Macaca mulatta: one gene and its partners. The protein of the gene in region 3 purifies or fractionates together with the protein of the main gene of each other region. This does not show direct contact. Links are inferred from orthologs where the notes say so. Each region holds a gene or a part of one and is shown on either strand. Other genes may lie near its edges. The genes, in order: MED19, MED8 and CDK8.

The links.
Region 1: the proteins of CDK8 (region 3) and MED19 purify together in Homo sapiens (affinity purification with mass spectrometry; 8 studies listed by BioGRID and IntAct, counting the BioPlex papers as one, with this or other methods). This does not show direct contact. The link is inferred for Macaca mulatta from reciprocal best matches to the Homo sapiens genes CDK8 and MED19.
Region 2: the proteins of CDK8 (region 3) and MED8 purify together in Homo sapiens (affinity purification with mass spectrometry; 7 studies listed by BioGRID and IntAct, counting the BioPlex papers as one, with this or other methods). This does not show direct contact. The link is inferred for Macaca mulatta from reciprocal best matches to the Homo sapiens genes CDK8 and MED8.

Annotation. Positions count from the first base shown.
Region 1 is NC_133419.1:15,679,770-15,686,495, reverse strand, and holds the start of MED19 (mediator of RNA polymerase II transcription subunit 19), read right to left. Parts: upstream 3,232-6,726; 5' UTR 3,199-3,231; coding exon 2,982-3,198; intron 1-2,981. Other genes in the region: TMX2 (thioredoxin-related transmembrane protein 2), read left to right, coding at 3,635-3,823. UniProt on the Homo sapiens protein: Component of the Mediator complex, a coactivator involved in the regulated transcription of nearly all RNA polymerase II-dependent genes.
Region 2 is NC_133406.1:197,280,833-197,287,458, forward strand, and holds the end of MED8 (mediator of RNA polymerase II transcription subunit 8), read left to right. Parts: intron 1-64; coding exon of another isoform or gene 65-91; exon of another isoform or gene 92-161; intron 162-268; exon of another isoform or gene 269-277; 5' UTR 278-292; coding exon 293-298; exon of another isoform or gene 299-808; intron 809-1,630; coding exon 1,631-1,749; intron 1,750-2,404; coding exon 2,405-2,549; intron 2,550-3,053; coding exon 3,054-3,194; intron 3,195-3,381; coding exon 3,382-3,463; intron 3,464-3,825; coding exon 3,826-4,074; intron 4,075-4,946; coding exon 4,947-5,007; coding exon of another isoform or gene 5,008-5,011; exon of another isoform or gene 5,012-5,326; intron 5,327-5,499; coding exon 5,500-5,602; 3' UTR 5,603-6,107; downstream 6,108-6,626. Other genes in the region: KICSTOR complex protein SZT2, read right to left, coding at 65-91. UniProt on the Homo sapiens protein: Component of the Mediator complex, a coactivator involved in the regulated transcription of nearly all RNA polymerase II-dependent genes.
Region 3 is NC_133422.1:6,466,075-6,472,700, forward strand, and holds part of CDK8 (cyclin-dependent kinase 8), read left to right. Parts: intron 1-2,853; coding exon 2,854-2,994; intron 2,995-6,626.

The DNA of each region.
Region 1 (6,726 bases), on a different chromosome or scaffold from region 3:
AAAGGAAACTGCTGGTGGACATCAACCACTAACTAATCAAAGGGATGTCAACTTCTCCATGTTTCAGTTTTTTCAATTATAAAATGTAGATAATAATGCTACCTCAAAGGGCTATTCTAAGTATTAAATACTACTTCATATGTGTTGTGAACTTTGAAGTACCATACCAATATCTGTCGCTACTTCCCTCAAGTCATGATGCGGAACTAAGACTTGAGACAATGAAAGGCATCTGGGAGGCCAGGCGTGGTGGCTCACACCTGTAATCCTGGCACTTTGGGAGGCCAAGGTGGGTGGATCACCTGAGGTTGGGAGTTTGAGATCAGCCTGACCAACAGGGAGAAACCTCGTCTCTACTAAAAATAAAAAACTAGCTGGGTGTGGGGGCGCATGCCTGTAATCCCAGCTACTCGGGAGGCTGAGGCAGGAGAATCGCCTGAACCTGGGAGGCGGAGGTTTCAGTGAGCCGAGATTGCGCCATTGCACTCCAGCCTGCGCAACAAGAGCAAAACTCTGTCTCAGGAGAAAAAAAAAAAAAAAAAAAAAAGAGAGAGAAAGGCAGCATCTTGGAGACCAAACATGTCCAAAACAACTCGATTTCCACCTCTTCAAACTTGTTCCTTCCTCATCTTCCAAGTCTCGTACCCATACACCCAATTATTCAAGCTGAAAACTTAAAAAGGCATCAATTCCTCTATCTCCTTCACTTCTATATACAATATGTATTTTTAACTGAGACAGCTTCTTCCTCTATCATCTAAGCTGGAGCACAGTGGCACAATCACAGCTCACTGCAGCCTCAACTTCCTGGGCTCAAGTGATTCTACCACCTCAGCTTCCTAAGTAGCTGAGACTACAGGTGTACGCTGCTATCCCTAGCTAATTTACTTTTATTTTTTGTAGAGATGGGGTCTCATTATATTGCCCAGGCTGGTCTCAAACTTTTGGGCTCAAGCAGTCCTCCCACCTCAGCCTCCCAAAGTGCTGGGATTACTGGCGTTAGCCACAGCACCTGGCTCTATATTCAGCTTTTCAACCCTGTCAGCTCTACATCTAACACCCTGTATCCATTTACTTCTCTAAATAAGTACATTTGACCAAGTTCCTATGTTAAAATGGCTTTCCTTGGCTGGGCACAGTGGCTCAGGCCTATAATCCTAGCACTTTGGGTGGCCAAGGTGGGAGGACTGTCATTGGCCAGGAGTTCAAGACCAGCTTGGGCAACACAGTAAGACCCAGTCTTTACAAAAAATTTTTAAGTTAGCCAACTGTGGTGGCACATGCCTGCAGTCCTAGCTACTTGGGAGGCTGAGGTGGGAGGACAGCATGCGCCTAGGAATTGGAGGTTACAGTGAGCTATGACTGTACCACTGCAGTCCAGCCTGGGTGACACAGTGAGACCTTGTCTCTATAAAAAATTGTTTTAAATGGCTTCCTTTTGTATTTACAATCTAAATGCCTTTATTGCTTTATAAAAGCCTCTGCCTAACTCTCCCAGCTTCATCTCTCTCCTAACACTCTTTCCTTTTGTTCACTTCACTGGAGTCCAACTGATTTTCTGTCCCTCAGATATTCTAAGCTTTTTCTCACATCAGGGTTTCTGACCTCATTTCCTGTATCTAGAATTATCTCTCCCTCCTGTCCATAGCTGGCTGGCCCTTTGTCTATGCTTACATTTTAGTTCAAATTTTAGCTATGTGGAGAGAGCATCTCTGGCCACTCTAGCTAAAGTAGTTCTGCCCCTCAATTTTTTTTTTAAGAGACAGGGTCTCATCTGTTGCCTAGGCTGGAGTGCAGTGGCACAATCTTGGTTCACTGCAGCCTGGACCTCCTGTGTTCAAGCAATTCTCCTCCCTTAGTCTCCTGAGTAGCTGGGGCTACAGGCAAGCACTACCACGGCCGGCTAATCTTGTATGTTTTGTAGAGACTGGGTCTCGCCATGTTGCCCAGGCTGGTCTCAAACTCCTGGGCTCAAAGGATCCTCCTGCCTCAGCCTACCCAAGCGCTGGGATTACAGGCGTGAGCAATGCGCCTGGCCACCTTCAATTTTTTATAATGTTTTCTCTTCCTAGCATTAACCACTCTCTGACATTATCTTGTTTACAATGCCTCCTACACTGAAATGTACATTCCAAAAAAGGCAAGCATCTTGTCAGTCTTGTTCACAACTGTATCTCCAGCATTTAGAAAAGTGCTTGGTACATAGGTACTCAACAAAATAATTTTTTGAATGAAAAGAGTTTGGTTCGATTCTTACCCCTTCTTTGATGACACCAGGAAACGCAGAAATCTTGGAAGAGTGGCAACTTGCCCCAAACCCACAGCAAGTCTGTGGGAGACTTGTAACTAAAACTTTAGGTCCCCAAAGATATTAAATCAGGCCTCTCGAGTTCCAAACTCAAACTCTTGATTTTTTGTTTGTTTGTTTTTGTTTTGAGACGGAGTCTCATTCTATCGCCCAGGCTGGAGTGCAGTGGAGCAATCTCGGCTCAATGCAACCTCCGCCTCCCGGGTTCCGAGTAGCTGGAATTAAAGGTATACGCCACCACGCCCAAGTAATTTTTGTGTTTTTAGTACAGACAGAGTTGCATCATGTTGGCCAGGCTGGTCTCGAACTCCTGACCTGAGGTGATTCGCCCGCCTCCGTCTCCCAGAGTGTTGGGATTACAGGCGTGAGCCACTGCGCCCAGCCCTAGATCATTTTTTAGGGAGACATAAACCAGTGTCAGGAACACAGCCTGGACATGGTGCAAAAGACAGTCACGGAGATGCACCACCCCGCTCCCCGCCATTCATCCCTTTGGTTGAATTCAACTCATCCCTCTGCTTGTGAATCCTAATAGCCCTTTCGACTTAGGGCTCCACAGTCCGGGTATGCGTTGCCTAGGTTACCTCGCACCTCCGTTAGCCGGCTGAGAGCCACGCCCAACACCTCCTCTCTAAGATTTGATTGGCTGGCTTTGGCAAGGCCGAGTACTCACCTGGCAGTTCCCTCATGAGGTAAAAAGGGCCACAGCCAGCTCCTGACTTGTCCGCGCCGGGAGGGGCCGTGGCCGCGGTGGGAGGCGGAGCCGTGCCGGGTCCCCCGCCCGGAGGAGGCGGTGGCGGGGGTGGAGGCTTTCCTGGTCCGAAGCCTAGTGCGGTTGGGGGCGGTGGTGGGTCAGCCTGAGCCCCGAACAGCGCCGTGAAATTCTCCATCGTCCCCTCCGCCCCGGCGCTGTCTCGGTGTCTGGCGTTGGTAATTTTCATTGGACAATGCCTTTAAGGAATACCCACCTCTTTCTCAAGGAACCGCTTGTCATTGGATGCCTCAGGCACCGCCTACCTTGTTTCAACAACTACTTCCGTCGCTCTCTGAGAACGTTCAGGAAGTGCTATTTAACCTTATTAGAGTCTTCTGCTAGCTACGTTAGCTACAGTCCAATAAAATGACTTAAGCTGATAAAGCGACAGCTAGACCAACCAATAAGATATTAAGTTCTTTTTTGGGTTCTGACATACCACAGCGTTGACAGAACTACATCCGGGTTTAGAGGCCGTACGTTTGAGATGTAGCCCAATAGCAGTCGCTATGGTGGGGGAGGCGGGGCCGGACCTACGACGCCGGTGAGCAGTGGCCCTTGCGGCCGAAAAGATGGCGGTCTTGGCTCCTCTAATTGCTCTGGTGTATTCGGTGCCGCGACTTTCACGATGGCTTGCCCAACCTTACTACCTTCTGTCGGCCCTGCTCTCTGCTGCCTTCCTACTCGTGAGGAAACTGCCGCCACTCTGCCACGGTTTGCCCACCCAACGCGAAGACGGTAACCCGTGTGACTTTGACTGGGTGAGCGTCCCGCGTCTCAGTACCGCGACCTTGACTGTCCCTGCCCTTGCAGGTGCATCTGGGAACCCTGGGGTTTACCTTTCTGAGGACACCTGAGGTTCCGAGCCTGTAGCGGATTTAACAGACTGTAAAGTGCAGAGTCCGAAACATCGTCGAGACTAAACTTTGTGTTTAATATGGGAAAACGGAACCTGTTAGTCGTAGCCCTGTACAACGGCCCAACAGCTTCTGACTGTTGAGTCCAGGTTTCTTTCCATTTCACCATTTAGACTAAGAAACAGCCCTGTCAAAACTGTACATATACGTGTATAGCATCTTACAGTGCCGCTCATTATGTAAAGCCTCCTGAGGAGCCAGTAAGGTAGGGAAGGCAAGTAGTAGTAGTCCTGTTTCATTGGTGAAGGAATGGATCTTGGTATATTTAGGCGACTTGCCCCAGGTCATGCAACTAATGAGTGCCTGGGACTTGAAACTATTCTTGTGGCCACACTACCTGCACACACTGTCAGCCGTTTCTTAATTCAATCAGCATTTCTAGAGTGTACACTCTAGGCACTCTGCTTGATCCTGAGGATGCGAAAGTGGATAAAATTTTGGGGCTACTGTAAAGGAATTGTAAAAAATAAGTTGTAAAGAAATCTTTGGGCTTTCTTTGAGAAGTGTCCCAAGCTCCTTGCTGTGCTTCCTTGGAATGGGTGGAGGGACTGCTCAGAACATGAACTTAAAGCACTTTACCCTCTGCTATATAGCATGTAAGGGCCAAGGCAAAGCTTCCCCTTAGCTCTCTGAGGGTTTGTTGAAAAATCAGCCGACAAAGGGCACGTTAATAGGAGAAAGGCACAGAAATTTTATTTTAACGTGCATAGCATGAGGGAATTGAAGGAGAATGACCCAGTGGGGTACAGAGGCTTATATACCCTTCTTCATAGGAGTATGGGAGATGGGGAAATGTGGGTGATTTTAAGGTGGATTGTAAATGACTTTTAGGGTGATTCAGTGGCCTGGAGAACATACAGTGGCGTGGGACAATGACTGTTGGGCCTGCAAAGCAGACAGTGGTTTCTGACAAAAATCTGTCCGGGTGTGTTGACAGGCTTCAGTCTTTCTTCCTGTACTATGAGTTAAGTTAATGAAAACTCAGGGAAGAGACCAGAAGTAATTGTTTTCTTCTTTGACAGGTCTGGACTTTAGGCAGATAAGGTAGTTATCAGAGTAAAGCTGCTTCCAGTATCTGCTGGTATCCAGGGACCTTTAATTTAAAATAATTAGCATACAGGATGCCATATTTTGGGCTGTGAGTCCCTGGTCTCCTTTATTTCCTTTGTCTGAAACTTCCTTAGAAGTTTCCCTATAAAAGCTGAGTTGGTGTCTGTGGAGAGAGAAATTGGGCTAGTAATTGAGCGGCAAAGGATCCCATTAAACCAGTCTCTCATTTTGGGGGATAGGCCAGTTCAGTTAAATTTCTGTGTCTCCTTTCAGGAGATGGCATTGTAGATGAGTTCTCAAAGCTAGTCTTCTATACATGATGTAGGCAAACAGATTTAATAAGAGAGACATATCTATGGAACAAGGCAAAGCTTAATATCTGGTATAGCGTATAAACTAGTTTCTTTAGAGTCTGGAGGGCAGTCAGTTGGGAAGATCAATAGCAATTTATTTTCCTAGATTGTAGGTTGTGTGTAAAGTTTGTCCAAATATAAGATGTTACGGTGATTTTTTTTTTTTTCAAAGACAAGTTGACTAGCTTTAGCTGATAAGGCCTTAGGAAAAAGGCAGGGTTTTTAGTTTTTTGGGGTTTTTTTGAGACAAGATCTTGCTCTGTTATCCAAGCTGGAGTGCAGTGGTGTGATCATGGCTCACTGTAGTCTTAACCTCCTGGGCAAAGCCATCCTGCCACCTCAGCCTCCCAGGTAGCTGGAACCAAAGGCATGCACTACACACCTGGCTAATTTTTAAAAAATTTTTTTGAGGTGGGGTCTCTTTATGTTGCCCAGGTTGGTCTTGAACTCCTGAGCTCGAGGGATCCTCCTGACTTGGCTTCCTAAGGAGCTGGGATTTACAGGCATGAGCCACTGCGCCAAGTCAAAAAGAAGGCTGTTTTAATTTTTAGTGATTCTAAGTCAGAAGAGTGGGTGAAAAATGGAAAACATTAGTCTGGAGGTTAGCAATTTTATGAGTCCAGTTTTATTTTCATTAGACTTTGGAAATTTTTACCCAGTCCAATGATGCAATTTCAAAGTTATCAGAAACCTGTATTTGTCAGAATTCTTCCCATGCTTTCCAAGAGCCTCCTTGAAAATAAGACACTTGGCCAGGTGTGGTGGCTGACATCTGTAATCCCAGCACTTTGGGAGGCTGAGGCGAGTGGATTTCCTGAGCTCAAGAGTTCGAGACCAGCCTGGCCAACATGGTGTAACCCTGTCTCTACTAAAAATACAGAAAATTAGCCGGGTGTGGTGGTGGGTGCCCGTAATCCCAGCTACTCTGGAGGCTGAGGCAGAAGAATCACTTGAACCCGAGAGGCAGAGGTTGCAGTGAGCCAGGATCGTGCCATTGCACTCAAGCCTGGGCATCAAGAGCAAAATTCTGTCTCAAAATCAATCAATAAGTAAAATAAAAAATACATATAATATATATAATATATGCTATATATTAATGTGCTTTTAATACTAATGCTAATTTTAATAAACTTTACAAACAAATCTGTCTAATCTTGATCAGCTTTGACTACACAAGATAAAATTTCCATAAACCTTTTATAACCTCTTAGAATTTGTTTTCATTCTTTCTTTTCTTTCCCCAGCTTTTTGTTGTTGTTATTTAGTTTTTATTTCATAATCATAAACTTAACTCTGCAATCCAGCTAGGCATGGAAGGGAACAAGGAAAACGTGGAACCCAAAG
Region 2 (6,626 bases), on a different chromosome or scaffold from region 3:
GCCTGCCCGCCGGACCCTCCCCCTCGGATCTCAGGGCCCAGTGCTGCGTCCGCCCGCCCCTCACCTCCGGCTCGGGGCGCTCCGAGGCCATCACACAAGCCCTCCCGCGCCGGCCCGGGCCTGTGTGTTCCACTCTTGACCCCTGACCTGGCTACCTCGGCACCCGGAAGGAACAGGAAGTGGGTGGGAGGGCCGAGTTCCAGTTTTCTGATTGGTGGACGAAGCCTTCTCAGAGGCGTTTGCTGACAGGAAACCGGAAGTGGAAATCGTTGCAGTCGCCTCGGCCGCCGCAATGCAGGTGAGAGCCGCGTTGGGAGTGCTAGCGGCTGGCCAGCTTCGGCTACAGGGAGCCAGAGTGGGCTGGCTAAGGAGAATGAAGAGTTGGGACTGAGAAGAGAGGGCAGAACCCACGGCTGATAAGGGAACGTGGGTTGGGGGGCGAGGTTAATTGGAGAGGGAGCGGCGCAGATGAGAGGTGGGGGTGGAGCTCGCCTGACAGAAGGCGGTCGGGCTAAATCCGGAGGGAGGAGGCAGCACTGACTTGCTTGGCGTGGGAAAGGATTAGGTTGTAATACGGGGAGGCCGAGATGCAGTCCAAGGAAGACGGCTCAGGAGGTGGTGGGTTGGCTCAGGCCCTGTCCTAAGCTGCTGGATGGAGGCTGTTGGATGCCGATATAGCAGGGGATCTAATTGGAAAGAAGCCCAAGCAGTGAGGGAATTGTGGGCCGCGGTGTCCGAAAGCTAAGCAGCTTGTAATGTGAGGCCATGGTGGAACCCAGGATCAAGTTCCTGTCAGGCACCTTAGCAGGTTTGCAAGACAGTTTTGCATCACTCTTCCCAGCCTGTGCCCTATAGTTGTTAAGGGTGAAGAAATGGAATAAAACAGGATACCACCGATGGGAAGGAAATGCTTTGCAGACCCCCGGCATTTTAATTTGTTTGTTCAGTGCTTAGAAGCATGTGCGGTTTTGGTTTTCATTTGTCACTTAGTTTCCTGCAGCTGGTAGTCTCAAGAAATGTTATTGGGTTGACCGAGCTTGTGAAAGAGGCACGGGAATATTGACACAGAGATAGATGGGTGCATATTAATTCAGCGAGGAGAAGGTTGAAACATGAAATGATGAGAGCAGATGGAAAGCTGGAGTGGTTGGTGGGGGGAGGGAAAGAGGAGAGCAGGGCTGGTATTCAGAGAAGTCTTCATGAGTAGGCAGATTTCCCAGAGACTGACAAGAGAGCCAGGCTCACAAATGCTAGGATGGAGGAAGCTGGAGTGCATGTGCTACAGAGGTGCACATGAGATAATGATCTGGCATTAGGTTTGTCGAAAATGTCTCAATGAGGGAGTGTAGGGTGTACCTAATACAGAGAAAAACCAGGCATAGATTAGGAGCGGATGGGAAAAAGGAATCAGTTGGTGGAAGTACTTGGGTCAGGCAAACGGTTGAAAGGTCTCAGGGTTGATGCTGTCTATAACCCAAATACCACAGATAGGAAACAACCTGGTTATCCTATGCCAATGAGATCCTGTTACCTGACTGGTGTTTGCACACCATCTCCTTGGCTTTTCAGCCCTCCTTTCTATGTGTCATACTCGTTTATCTGGGTAACCAACCTGTTCCTATTGGTGCAGAGAGAGGAGAAGCAGCTTGAGGCATCATTAGATGCACTGCTGAGTCAAGTGGCTGATCTGAAGAACTCACTGGGAAGTTTCATTTGCAAGTTGGAGAACGAGTATGGCCGGCTGACCTGGTAAGGGTTGCCAGGGCAAGCTAGGGAGGGCTTATGGGTGGGGGGGCCTAGCCTTCTGATGAATAGGACACTTCTAATGATGTAACCATTTATCAGTTTACAAACATCTTTTGATTTGGAAAGAGCTGGGTTTCGTAACATTTAGCAAGTGGCTTCCATGGCAAGGAAGTAGAGAAATGCTCGGTTTCCTAACCCAAGTTCATTATAGCTTTCAATTCTTACCCTTTGACTTCTCTGGTGAGGAGGTCCTCCTATTACAGCTCTATTTGTGCTGGATCTCTTGCCACAAATATGGCTGAGTCCTTTAGATCCAACCTACTCTGAAGTGTGGATCCTATTTCCAGGCTGGAAAGAAGGATTTTACCGGGTTTCTGAAGTTTTAGTTATAACAGTATAGTCCTATTTTGCCACTGTTCCTCACCTCATTCAAACAATGAACTGGATTTTTTCTACATCTGTTTCATAAACTGAAACTATGTCCCTCTTTCATAACCCTGTCATCCTTGTTAGTTTCTTCCCACTTAGGCTAGTCATAGGGCTATGAGACTTTTGGGGATAAATCCGAGTGTTCCTAGCCTGAAGGAACTAGGACTATTTTACTAAGAACCACCCAAGGAAGGGGTGGAACATTCTGACACCTGCTTACTGCCAACAGGCCATCTGTCCTGGACAGCTTTGCCTTGCTTTCTGGACAGTTGAACACTCTGAACAAGGTCTTGAAGCATGAAAAAACACCGCTGTTCCGTAACCAGGTCATCATCCCTCTGGTGTTGTCTCCAGACCGAGATGAAGATCTCATGGTAAGAGCAGAAAAAGAATACAACTTGGGAAATTAAGGAGTTTTTTAGGCTTCTTTACTATTTAGGGAAATTAAGTTCTTAGCTGAGAACTTAGAAATAATTTTGGAGGCCTTGCTTTTTGTTCTTCTGAAGGTGGGAGAGCCACTCCCAAATAGTGTTGTAATAACCTGAGGGGTATGTCACCAAGGCTGGTACCTTCCTTCTCCAACATCTGTCTCAAGCCACAAAGTCTGCCCTTTGGTGACTTTGTCTGTTTCAGTCTTTGAAACGTGGCAGACAGTGATAGTTTAATTTGCCTCTAGGTCTGGTAGAGATAGGGATGTGAGAAGACACAAAAAATGAAGGCTGGAGTAAAGGAGATTGTGTCCTAGGAAACTAGATATTATGTCTTAGGTTGTATTTTCCTTGAAAATGCACTGTTTGCCTGTGGATGGGACTGTATATCAGGCCAGATAGAATCTTCTTGGAGTGCATAGTAGGATCAATAAAATCTGTGTGTTGCAGCGGCAGACTGAAGGACGGGTGCCCGTTTTCAGCCATGAGGTAGTCCCTGACCATCTGAGAACCAAGCCTGACCCTGAGGTGGAAGAACAGGAGAAGCAACTGACGACAGATGCTGCCCGCATTGGTGCAGATGCAGCCCAGGTTGGACTGAGTCACTGCCTTGCTGCCCCATCCCCATCCCATCATGAGAAGCTAGGCATTACCATTCCTGTCTAGTAGGGATGCATAGTTGGTTGCACCTAAGCTGCTTCTGGCAGAACCCAAGGAATAAATTTGTCCATATCGTTTCCTAGTTACCCTAATCTCTGCACAAATTTGTGTGTTACAGAAGCAGATCCAGAGCTTGAATAAAATGTGTTCAAACCTTCTGGAGAAAATCAGCAAAGAGGAGCGAGAATCAGAGAGTGGAGGTATGGTGGACTGGTGGCAAAACAGAGAAGGAGAGGTATATAAGATCACTGGAATGGGAATGGTTGTTTCGAGAGTAGTGAAGTTAGGACACAAGAGTGAACTGCTTTAGGGTTTGCATCCATTCTGTTAGCCTTTTGTATTTAAGGCCAACCCTGAAGCAGTGGAGGAAATGGGCAAAGTAAGAAGAGAGAATTCTGAGATAGGCTTGGGGGTCCTCTGGCTCTTTTTATGGGCTGTGAGGGAGTCTAGATGCTGCTGAATTCAGAACTCTAAACCCTGGCACTCATACTGGTCTTCCAGCTGCCACGTTCAGTCCTGCATCAGAAACATACTTCAGGATCCCCACTTACTTTTTCTTCAGGTCTCCGGCCAAACAAGCAGACCTTTAACCCTACAGACACTAATGCCTTGGTGGCAGCTGTTGCCTTTGGGAAAGGACTGTCTAACTGGAGACCTTCAGGCAGCAGTGGTCCTGGCCAGCCAGGCCAGCCAGGAGCTGGGACGATCCTTGCAGGAACCTCAGGATTACAGCAGGTGCAGATGGCAGGAGCTCCAAGCCAGCAGCAGCCAATGCTCAGTGGGGTACAAATGGCTCAAGCAGGTCAACCAGGTAAGGTGGCAGGGGTTGAAGGGAAGTTGACTTTGAGCAGGGGAGCTGGAGGGAATAAGCTAGATTATCTGGGCCTCCAGCATCTCTAGACCTAGAGATTTTCTCCATTTCTCCTTTGCACTGTGACCCAGGAAATAATTTTCAGAAGTAAAAAAATCTCATTTGAGACTCTGCATAGACACCAGAGAGTGAGGAAGAACTTTGAGTAACAGAAACTGCTCTCATTTCCCATCTCCATCTCACATCTCTGTGTCAACTATCCTTCGGTCCCATTTATTCTGGTATTAGATATGTTGTCAGTGTCTCTTCTTAGGTAGAGAAATCAGTGGTCAGATCTTAAGACCGTTTGGTAGGTGCATTAGGAATTGACACGCAGGCCAGTTTTCCAGTCCTACATGTATTCTTTTCTCTGTATCATGCCTCTCTTGCTCTTGGCTTCCTGCTTTCTCTCCTACTCATTTTTAGAATAGTCTATATGGAGGCAGCTAGAAGAGTTATTTCCTCCAAGCTGTCTAGGAGAAGGGACAATTAAAACAAAGATTCTGCAGTTCTTATGATATTAAAAAAAAAAAAACAATGAGAGAAAGTACTCTTTTTACCTGTGACATTAAATGGGGGTCACACAGGTTTAGCTATCTTTTCTAGGAGTGGATGAACAGACTATTCTCCCATATCACTTCTTTCCTCCTGGGCACCTTCAGGGAGAGAGCTGGGTGAAGAACCATACTTCTGACCTTTGTCAAACAAGGTCAGATGCTACAGAGGTTCTGAGATGATAAAGGAGGTGACAGAGGGAACCTGAGATACCACATTTCTGATTTGTCGTGAAAGTCTTACCTTGCTTGAGATGTCTTTCTTCATGTTCCTTTCAGGGAAAATGCCAAGTGGAATAAAAACCAACATCAAGTCGGCTTCAATGCATCCCTACCAGCGGTGAGTGTGGCTGGCAACCTCGACTCCCTGGTGCTCTTTGCAGAGTTGGGCAGTGAAATTATCTTTTGCTCAAGGCTCACCTAGATGGGTACAATAAAAAGAACATGGGCTTTCAGCAACAGACAAATCCCACTTCCACCACTGACTAGCTGTGTGACCTTGGACAAGTGACCTAATTTTCTGAGCCTGTTTCTCATTTGTAAATGGTGATAATACCTACCTTATAGAGTTGTTGTGAGGATTAAAATGAGGAAATGAATGTAAAGCACTTAGCACAGTATATGAAATAATGGGTATTCAATAAATGATAGTTTCTACAGATCCTTCTCCCCACCACCCTCCACAGTCCTTGATCCAGAACTTACCCTGATCTGATACTGCCTCATGTCAATGGTGAGCTGATGGACACAAGATCAAATAAGGCTTTGCTTATTTCATGCTGCCAAAAACTGTAGCAACCTCTGTGTTCTTAGAGGCACACTGTCTTTGCAGGCCCTCCTGCCTGGTTTTCATTCTGGCTGTCCCTCTAAGGTGCAAGGTGAAGAAGCTTCTGGGTCAGGAAGAAAAAAAAAATGCCCGCCTACAGCTCTGGTGAAGCTTGGGCCTGCTGTCCTTTCTATGCTCTGAAAAGCCAACTTGGCTCTTACCTGGCAAATAGTCATAAAGTCCCCTATTCTTTACCCCACCCTTATCACACGAGGCTTTCTCAGGAAGTGGCTCTGCCAGGCAGGACTATGTGGGAAAGGGTTTTTTCTTAGCACATGAAAAAGCCCCTTCCCCTGGACTCGTGTTTCTTATTTTGGAGGGAGAAGGGAATTGCACTTCACACTGCCATCAGGGTTTAGTTGACCTCATAATGGTGCCCAGTTTCTCGACTGGCCAGGATGGCTTTCCTTCATTTCCCTAAGCCTGTGGCCCAAATGGTGAACCAGATTGATGGTGGGAGGGGGCAACCCCCACTGCTTTTATAAAGTTGAACAAAGTGAATTTAGACATTCAGGCTAATCTGCCTTTCTTAGTACTTGTTTGTCGGCATGGGCAGGGGTTGAGTCAGCAGAAGTGGACCAAAGGATTCCTCTGAATAAAGTTATTTAAATTGATGTTCACTGGCTCAGGGTTGTCTGACAGTAATTTATGAGAGCACTACATAGGGATCAGAGGCAATTTCAAGAGTGCTGCAAGGCAGTTCTAATTTGCTCTCCATAAAAAAGTTTTCATATCTTTAATTAGCTTTGATCTAAAAATCCTGCGACTTCCCTCCTGCTCATACCTTCCAGCTGCCTTTTTTCTGTTCTCTTCTATCACACACTGGTGCTTTGGCATTTGTTCAGTGCCAAACAAAGTTCTGCCAGGCTGTGGCAGCAAAGGACTGGAAAAGTGGTCCCAGATGTCACATCTGTTACCATTCCATCAAGACGAGGAATGGTATCCACAAAGCTCACTGACCACAATACATAGCAGTAGGGGAGTCTGGTCACCAGCTCTGAGGCAAAGACAGACCTTTTCCCTACTTAAACTCTTCCAACTCATCAGCTTGCTGAGGTGTTCTCTATCTTCTCACCTCTTCCCTTCCCAGTGGAAATGTCAAAGCTAACTGGCATATTGGGTAGAGTTTGAGC
Region 3 (6,626 bases):
CACTTGTGGTCCCAGCTGTTCATGGGACTGAAGCCCAGGAAGTCGAGGCTGCAGTGGGTCCTGTTCACACTGTTGCACTCCAGCCCGGCTAAGTTTTGTATTTTTGGTAGAGACAGGGTTTCACCATGTTGACCAGGCTGGTCTCTTAGCTCCTGATGTCAGGTGATCTGCCCACCTCGGCCTCTCAAAGTGCTGGGATTACAGGCCTGAGCCACTGAGCCCAACCAGTTTATTAGTTTATCTAATGCAATGCAGAAAATGATGCTATATTGAAAAAAATTACTGTAAAATAAGAACTTAAATTAATCTTGTCTAAGTAGCTGAAATTCAAACACCAGCCTCAGTATTTTGCAGTTTACTAAGCAGATTATTTTTTAAATTGGTATTTGAGGAACTCTTAGGTAACTATGAAATTTGCTGTTTTGTTAAATATAACATTTATGTTTTAAAAAAAATCTGAAACGTTACCTTGCAGATAAGACTGAGATATATATATTATATACATATATATATAGAAAATCTATAACAGGATAGCCAAAGTAATTTTGAAACATATTCACAATTACATTCTTACCAATCTGTATAAAGAACATCTGTTAATACAGATTATAGTTTAAGAAACAAGTAAACCAAACCTCTAACATTACCTTGTGTTAATTCATTAAGAATTACTTTACTCCTGTGTACTGGGTTTTTAATGATATTTAATAATGTCTTTAAACATTGTATTGATTTGCATACTAATCTATATTTACTAAGTTAGCATGGCCATGCTTTTTAATTTGTACACATGAAATTTTCTCTCTTTTATGAAACTCTTTTGAAAGTTCATGCTGATTATTAATTTTTTCGTCTTTTTTTAATCTTTGGTTCTTCTGTTCTTCTATTTTAAAATAAGTCTAATCGTATCAACCCTGTTAAATCAGCGTGGCCAGTATTAAATTGAACACTCACCATACTGAGCCTCATAAGAAATGAAGTCATATAATTTAAACTTAAGGCATTTTCCAGGCTGGTTCATAAACAAGATTTGTGATAAACCACGGTAGAGCGTAGAAGATAGTATAATATTTCACTCAATGTGATTTCTAGCTGCTAGTTTGTAATATTTAATTTTACATGTAGGTACAATGATTATACTTTAACAAATTTTATTGCATGTAATATTGTACAGTGTATATAAATAGTTCATTAGCTTTATCATCATCTTAATAATATTTAAGCCAAATAACTATTTTTAATGTTCATTTTCATTAAAAACAAACGATAATTTAGCCTACTAAAGCCCACTCCTTTATCTATTTTAATTGGAATGTTGAAGTGAATTGGTAGGGGTTAGGCAGCAGAGGGTAACAAGGCAGTTGCGATAAAAATAGTTATTTTTAAAAATCACTTAAGCATTGGTGAGATTTCATGGTATGTGTACTTTGCATTTGTTATGTAGCCCTGGAATATAAAGAAGATGACAGTAGGGTTTGTCATTTTAAAATATTGGTAAAAGAAATCACTTGTAATACTCTAATAAAGTGTACATGAAGAAATATATATGAAATTGATTAATTACCTTACCTCTCCTACATATCCGCCCACCTCGGCCTCCCAAAGTGCTAGGATTACAGGCGTGAGCCACCACGCCCGGCCCAAGAATCTTAAGGAGAACAGACTTGATTGTCACATCATATTTTAGGACAGGTGACAAAACAGTCTAGATATTAAATTGTTGTAGCTCTGTTTTGTTTGCCTGCTATTAAATACCTTGAAAAAAAGACTGAGAGGAAAATTAAAGTCGGTTAATGCTGCTCATTTAGATTAGTCACACTACATAGGTGCAAACTGCTACACTTTACCTTCTCGTGGGTACTTGCTATCTATTTTTCCTTGGAGAGTAAAGCTCCTTTACTCATTAATCATTAGTTATTCCTTACTTGTATTATATTCTGTGTATCATAAGAAAATAGCAAGTGAAAATGTTAACTTATAATGTTAAATATCTCTTATTTTTATTATGTTTACTGATTTCAAGAACATGCTTAATATTTACTTACATATATTGGCCGAGGGTCTGCTCTGTGCAATATTAGGTTCAGGGATATGTACAATGGTGTGCAAGGCATAGTTGACTACAGCCAAGTTACAGATTTTCCTGCAGTTTAAAAGTGATCCAATTAAGAAAATGAGTCCTCCTATCACGAGCATTTGAAACTTTTCAAAAAAAACTTGTAAGGCACATTCATTTATAAAGTAATTTTTCTATGTATAAAGTTGTGCTTTGTTTTACTGGATGTCCAACAACATTATACATAGAAAGCTTTGATGGATGGTACAAGGCATTTTTTTTTCCCTCAGAATCTTTCATATTTTTCCATTTTTCCCTGTGAACTGGTATGTCATTTCTTTGTGCTTGTGTTATTTTATTGAAGCATCTCCCCACTTGCTTTCTTTATAACCTATGTTATAAATAGGTTCTCATTCTATACCATGTCAGCCAGCCAGAAGTATCTCTTGAACTTTGTTTTTTTTTTTTCATTGTATCTACCAGATAAACAGGAATCAAATATACTCTGAAAGTAATTGATTTTTAATTATGCTGTAAAAATAAAAGCACAGTATTTCCTAATTCCTTGTTGTGATAATGTATTTCCTGAAATGCTGTCATATGCTTAGGAAATGGAATTTTAGCTGCAGTTATTAGGGAATTTTAAAGTTGTTTATGTTATTCAGCAGAGTATGAAATTGTATTTTCAATATCTGTGGGAATCCCTGAGTGTTTCTTTTTCTGTTAGGAAAATATTACATATCAAATGATCTTTTCCTTTTTTTTAAGCTTCTGGTGATATTTTTTCTTTCTTTCAGCATATAATCAAGTTTCACAGAGCTTCTAAAGCAAACAAGAAGCCAGTTCAGTTACCTCGGGGAATGGTGAAGTCACTATTGTATCAGATCCTAGATGGTATTCACTACCTGCATGCTAACTGGGTGTTGCACAGAGATTTGGTAAGTTGATCTGTAATTGGTTTAAACTAGAAAGATGCATTACAGTTGGATACTTTTCTAGTTGTCTGTAGATACCAGTGCTATATGTAGGCCTGCAAACCTTATAGAGGTAGTGAGAACGCTACATTCTCAAAAAATGGCCTAGTAGTGTTTTTATAGAATTCATCCTGCTTCTTTGACATACACTAGATGGTATTTATTTTGAAGTGAAATAAGACACATTTGTTTTCCTAAGCTTCTGTTTCCTTTTAAGTTCATAAATAAAGCATTAGCTTGCTTCACATTGATTATTAGATGCAAGGCAAACTGTAGAAATTTATATATTTATAATAACTTGAAGGTAAAACTTTTGGAGCCTACTGCATACTTATTTACATATTAGAAAAGGAAAATGTTAATTCAGTATGCTTATATTTTAAGCCCCTCTATGTTAGTAGCAGTCTGTTGGCCAATAGCCTTTATTAATCGTAATTGAAGTATATTATTAGAAACCTTGCTGTATTCAGGTACATTGAAGTTTTAAGAATTTAAAAACGGAAGAAACTGACTTTTTATTTAATGTGTCAAAGTCATTTATGCCTTTTTTCACCCATCTTGCACAGGGGTACCCAGCCCCCAGGCCACAGACCAGTCCATGGCCCATTAGGAACCAGGCCACACAGCGGGAGGTGAGCGGTGGGTGAGCATTACCACCTGAGCTCAGCCTCCTGTCAGATCAGTGGCAGCATTAGATTTTCATAGGAGCCAGAACCCTATTGTGAACTGCACATGCAGGGGTTCTAGACTGCACACTCCTTATGAGAATCTAATGCCTTATGATCTGAGGTGGTACAGTTACATACTGAAACCATCCCTTCCCACCCCACTGTGTGGAAAAACTGTCTTCCATGAAACTGATCCCTGGTGCCAAAAAGATTGGGGACTGCTGATCTAGCATATTATTATTCATTAAATTTTCATGGATTTCAGTTACCTAAACTTCAAATTGCCCTTTCTTACTACATAATTACATTGCTTTTATAGTTCTTTTCTTTGTAAAGATAGTAACTATAATAAGATTTATAACAGCACCGTCATTTCAAACAAATATAAACACAATGCTGAAAGTGATGATTTTGTCTCTAATCACCTGTATACAAAGGAAATATCCTGTAGGCCATGAGGCGGAGCCCATCTGGTCTCTCGCAAAGATGTTCTTCACAAATTTAGTGAGCTTAGTCTCTGGCCTTCAAATGTGCTGTTCCAGTGGCATAGTTTCTACTTCTTTCTTCTAGCTTTAGGAAATTGCCTTGTAGCACATTTAATGTTAGTTAGTTACTTTATCTCCAGTTCTCGTACCTACAAAGCATTTAGACTAGGACCAATAACACAGCAGAAATTTGGTTGGACTTGTTTCTTTATGCAAGCTTTTATTTTTAATAGAGTTAGAATATTTTACTTATAAAAATAGATTTACAGGCCGGGCGCGGTGGCTCGTGCCTATAATCCCAGCACTTTGGGAGGCTGAGGCAGGGTGGATCACAAGGTCAGGAGTTCAAGATGAGGCTGGCCAAGATGGTGAAACCCTGTCTCTACTAAAAATACAAAAAATTAGCCGGCTTGGTGGTAGGCACCTGTAATCCGAGCTACGCTGGAGGCTGAGGCAGAGAATTACTTGAACGTGGGAGGCGGAGGTTGCAGTGAGCCAAGATGGCACCACTGCACTCCAGCCTGGACGACAGAGTGAAACTCCATCTCTTAAAAACAAAACAAAACAAAAAATAGATTTACATAACAGAAATCAGACAAATCCTTTGGCATTTTATGAAGCTGAAAATAAATTTTGGCCATTGTGGTGGAGTCAAATTAGGGAAAAACATTTCTACTTTTGAGCTACCCATCCTTTTTATGATGTCTAAAAGAAAAAACTGTGGCTAAAGGACATGTTTTTCCCCATCGAGTCAGTTATGCTAAGATAGCTCTACATTTTCTTTTTCTTGTAAATTATTCTTTTCACTTGAAGTATGTATGCATATTAGGTAAATACAGACTGATTTTTAAAACCAATATTTAAATTTCATGTAATAATATAAATATACTTAAGCCACTTAGAGTAGTATTAAGTATAGTAGTGAAAATTATGATACCAAGTTTCTTTTATCTCTCTTATGGTAAAGCTCTTCCTACTAATGCACCTTAAGTAGATTCTCTTTGACATAGGGTCAGTGTAGAACCGATCATTTCAGAAGGCTCTGTTAGTGGTGTACTAAGTGGTGGAGAGTGGAAGGATCGGTGCCCCCTAATATAGGCAACAAGGGATGCATTGTCTGTAGGTGATTTAAAAATAATAATAAAGCATACTAAAAGTTAGTTGCTTTTTATTGTCACCATATGCTGACAATTCTGAACAATTTCAGTAATAAAGTATTTCTCTACAGTGAGGCAAATCACTCTTACTCCTCCATCCCTCTTGCCATTATTTAAAGTTTATTAATCCAAAAAGTTCTGCGGTGTCTACTGCTATCTTCTTTGATTTCCATATTTGAGTGAGATTTTCCGTATTTTCTGTGCATGACTTCTTAGTATTCTTTATAAACGTCTGTCTCTTCTGTGTATCTCAGGCACACAGAAATCCACTGAACCATTGTTTCATGAAAATGACAGCCTTTGCCTCTAACCTAGATCCTACTGGTTCAGATGCCCACCTTTCAAATTCTGAAGGAAAAACTCATTTACCATATATGTACATTTTAAAATGTGAGCACCTTCCTGCCAACTGAAAAAGCTTTAAAGTTTTAACGTTTATAGTGTTTGAACAATAGCTACATTTGATTCTAATATATGTAGTAATATCATATTAACTCTCAAGAACATTGGTCAGCCGGGCGCGGTGGCTCACGCCTGTAATCCCAGCACTTTGGGAGGCTGAGGTGGGTGGATCATGAGGTCAGGAGTTCGAGACCAGCCTGGCCAAGATGGTGAAACTCCGTCTCTACTAAAAATACAAAAATTAGCCGGGCATGGTGGCACATGCCTGTAATCCTAGCTACTTGGGAGGCTGAGGCAAGAGAATCACTTGAACCCGCGAGGCAGAGGTTGCAGTGAGCCGAGATTGTGCCACCGCACTCTAGCCTGGGTGACAGAGCGAGACTCCGTCTCAAAAAGAAAAAAAAAGAACATTGTTCAGAAGCTATATAACATAATTTTTTTTAACTTGTTCTTCTCAAATATTTGTTGTTAGTTGCATATGAAATATTTACCCTATCCAAACAAAAATTAATAGTTCATTATATTCTTTACTCCTGTTTAGTCAGATTTAGATCAAATGTGACAATGCTGACCTTAACTCTCTTCATAGACTTCTAATGCTATGAATTGGACCAGTTGGTTGAGGTGCTGACATGCCACAAGAAACTTCATATTAAGGTGGATAATTGGCACAGACACCCTAAAAACACCATTTTAATAATACTCTGGAATGTTATTGATGTTTTTGTTTAATAAAATTGGCTTTATTAATTAATAGAAATACTGGTTTGAGATGGTAGAGTTATGAAGTTCTTTGATATGTATAGTTGAGCTTTTAAAATTAACAATCCTATTTAATAAATAACGATTTATCTGGTTGCTATTAATCATCACATAGTAGCAAA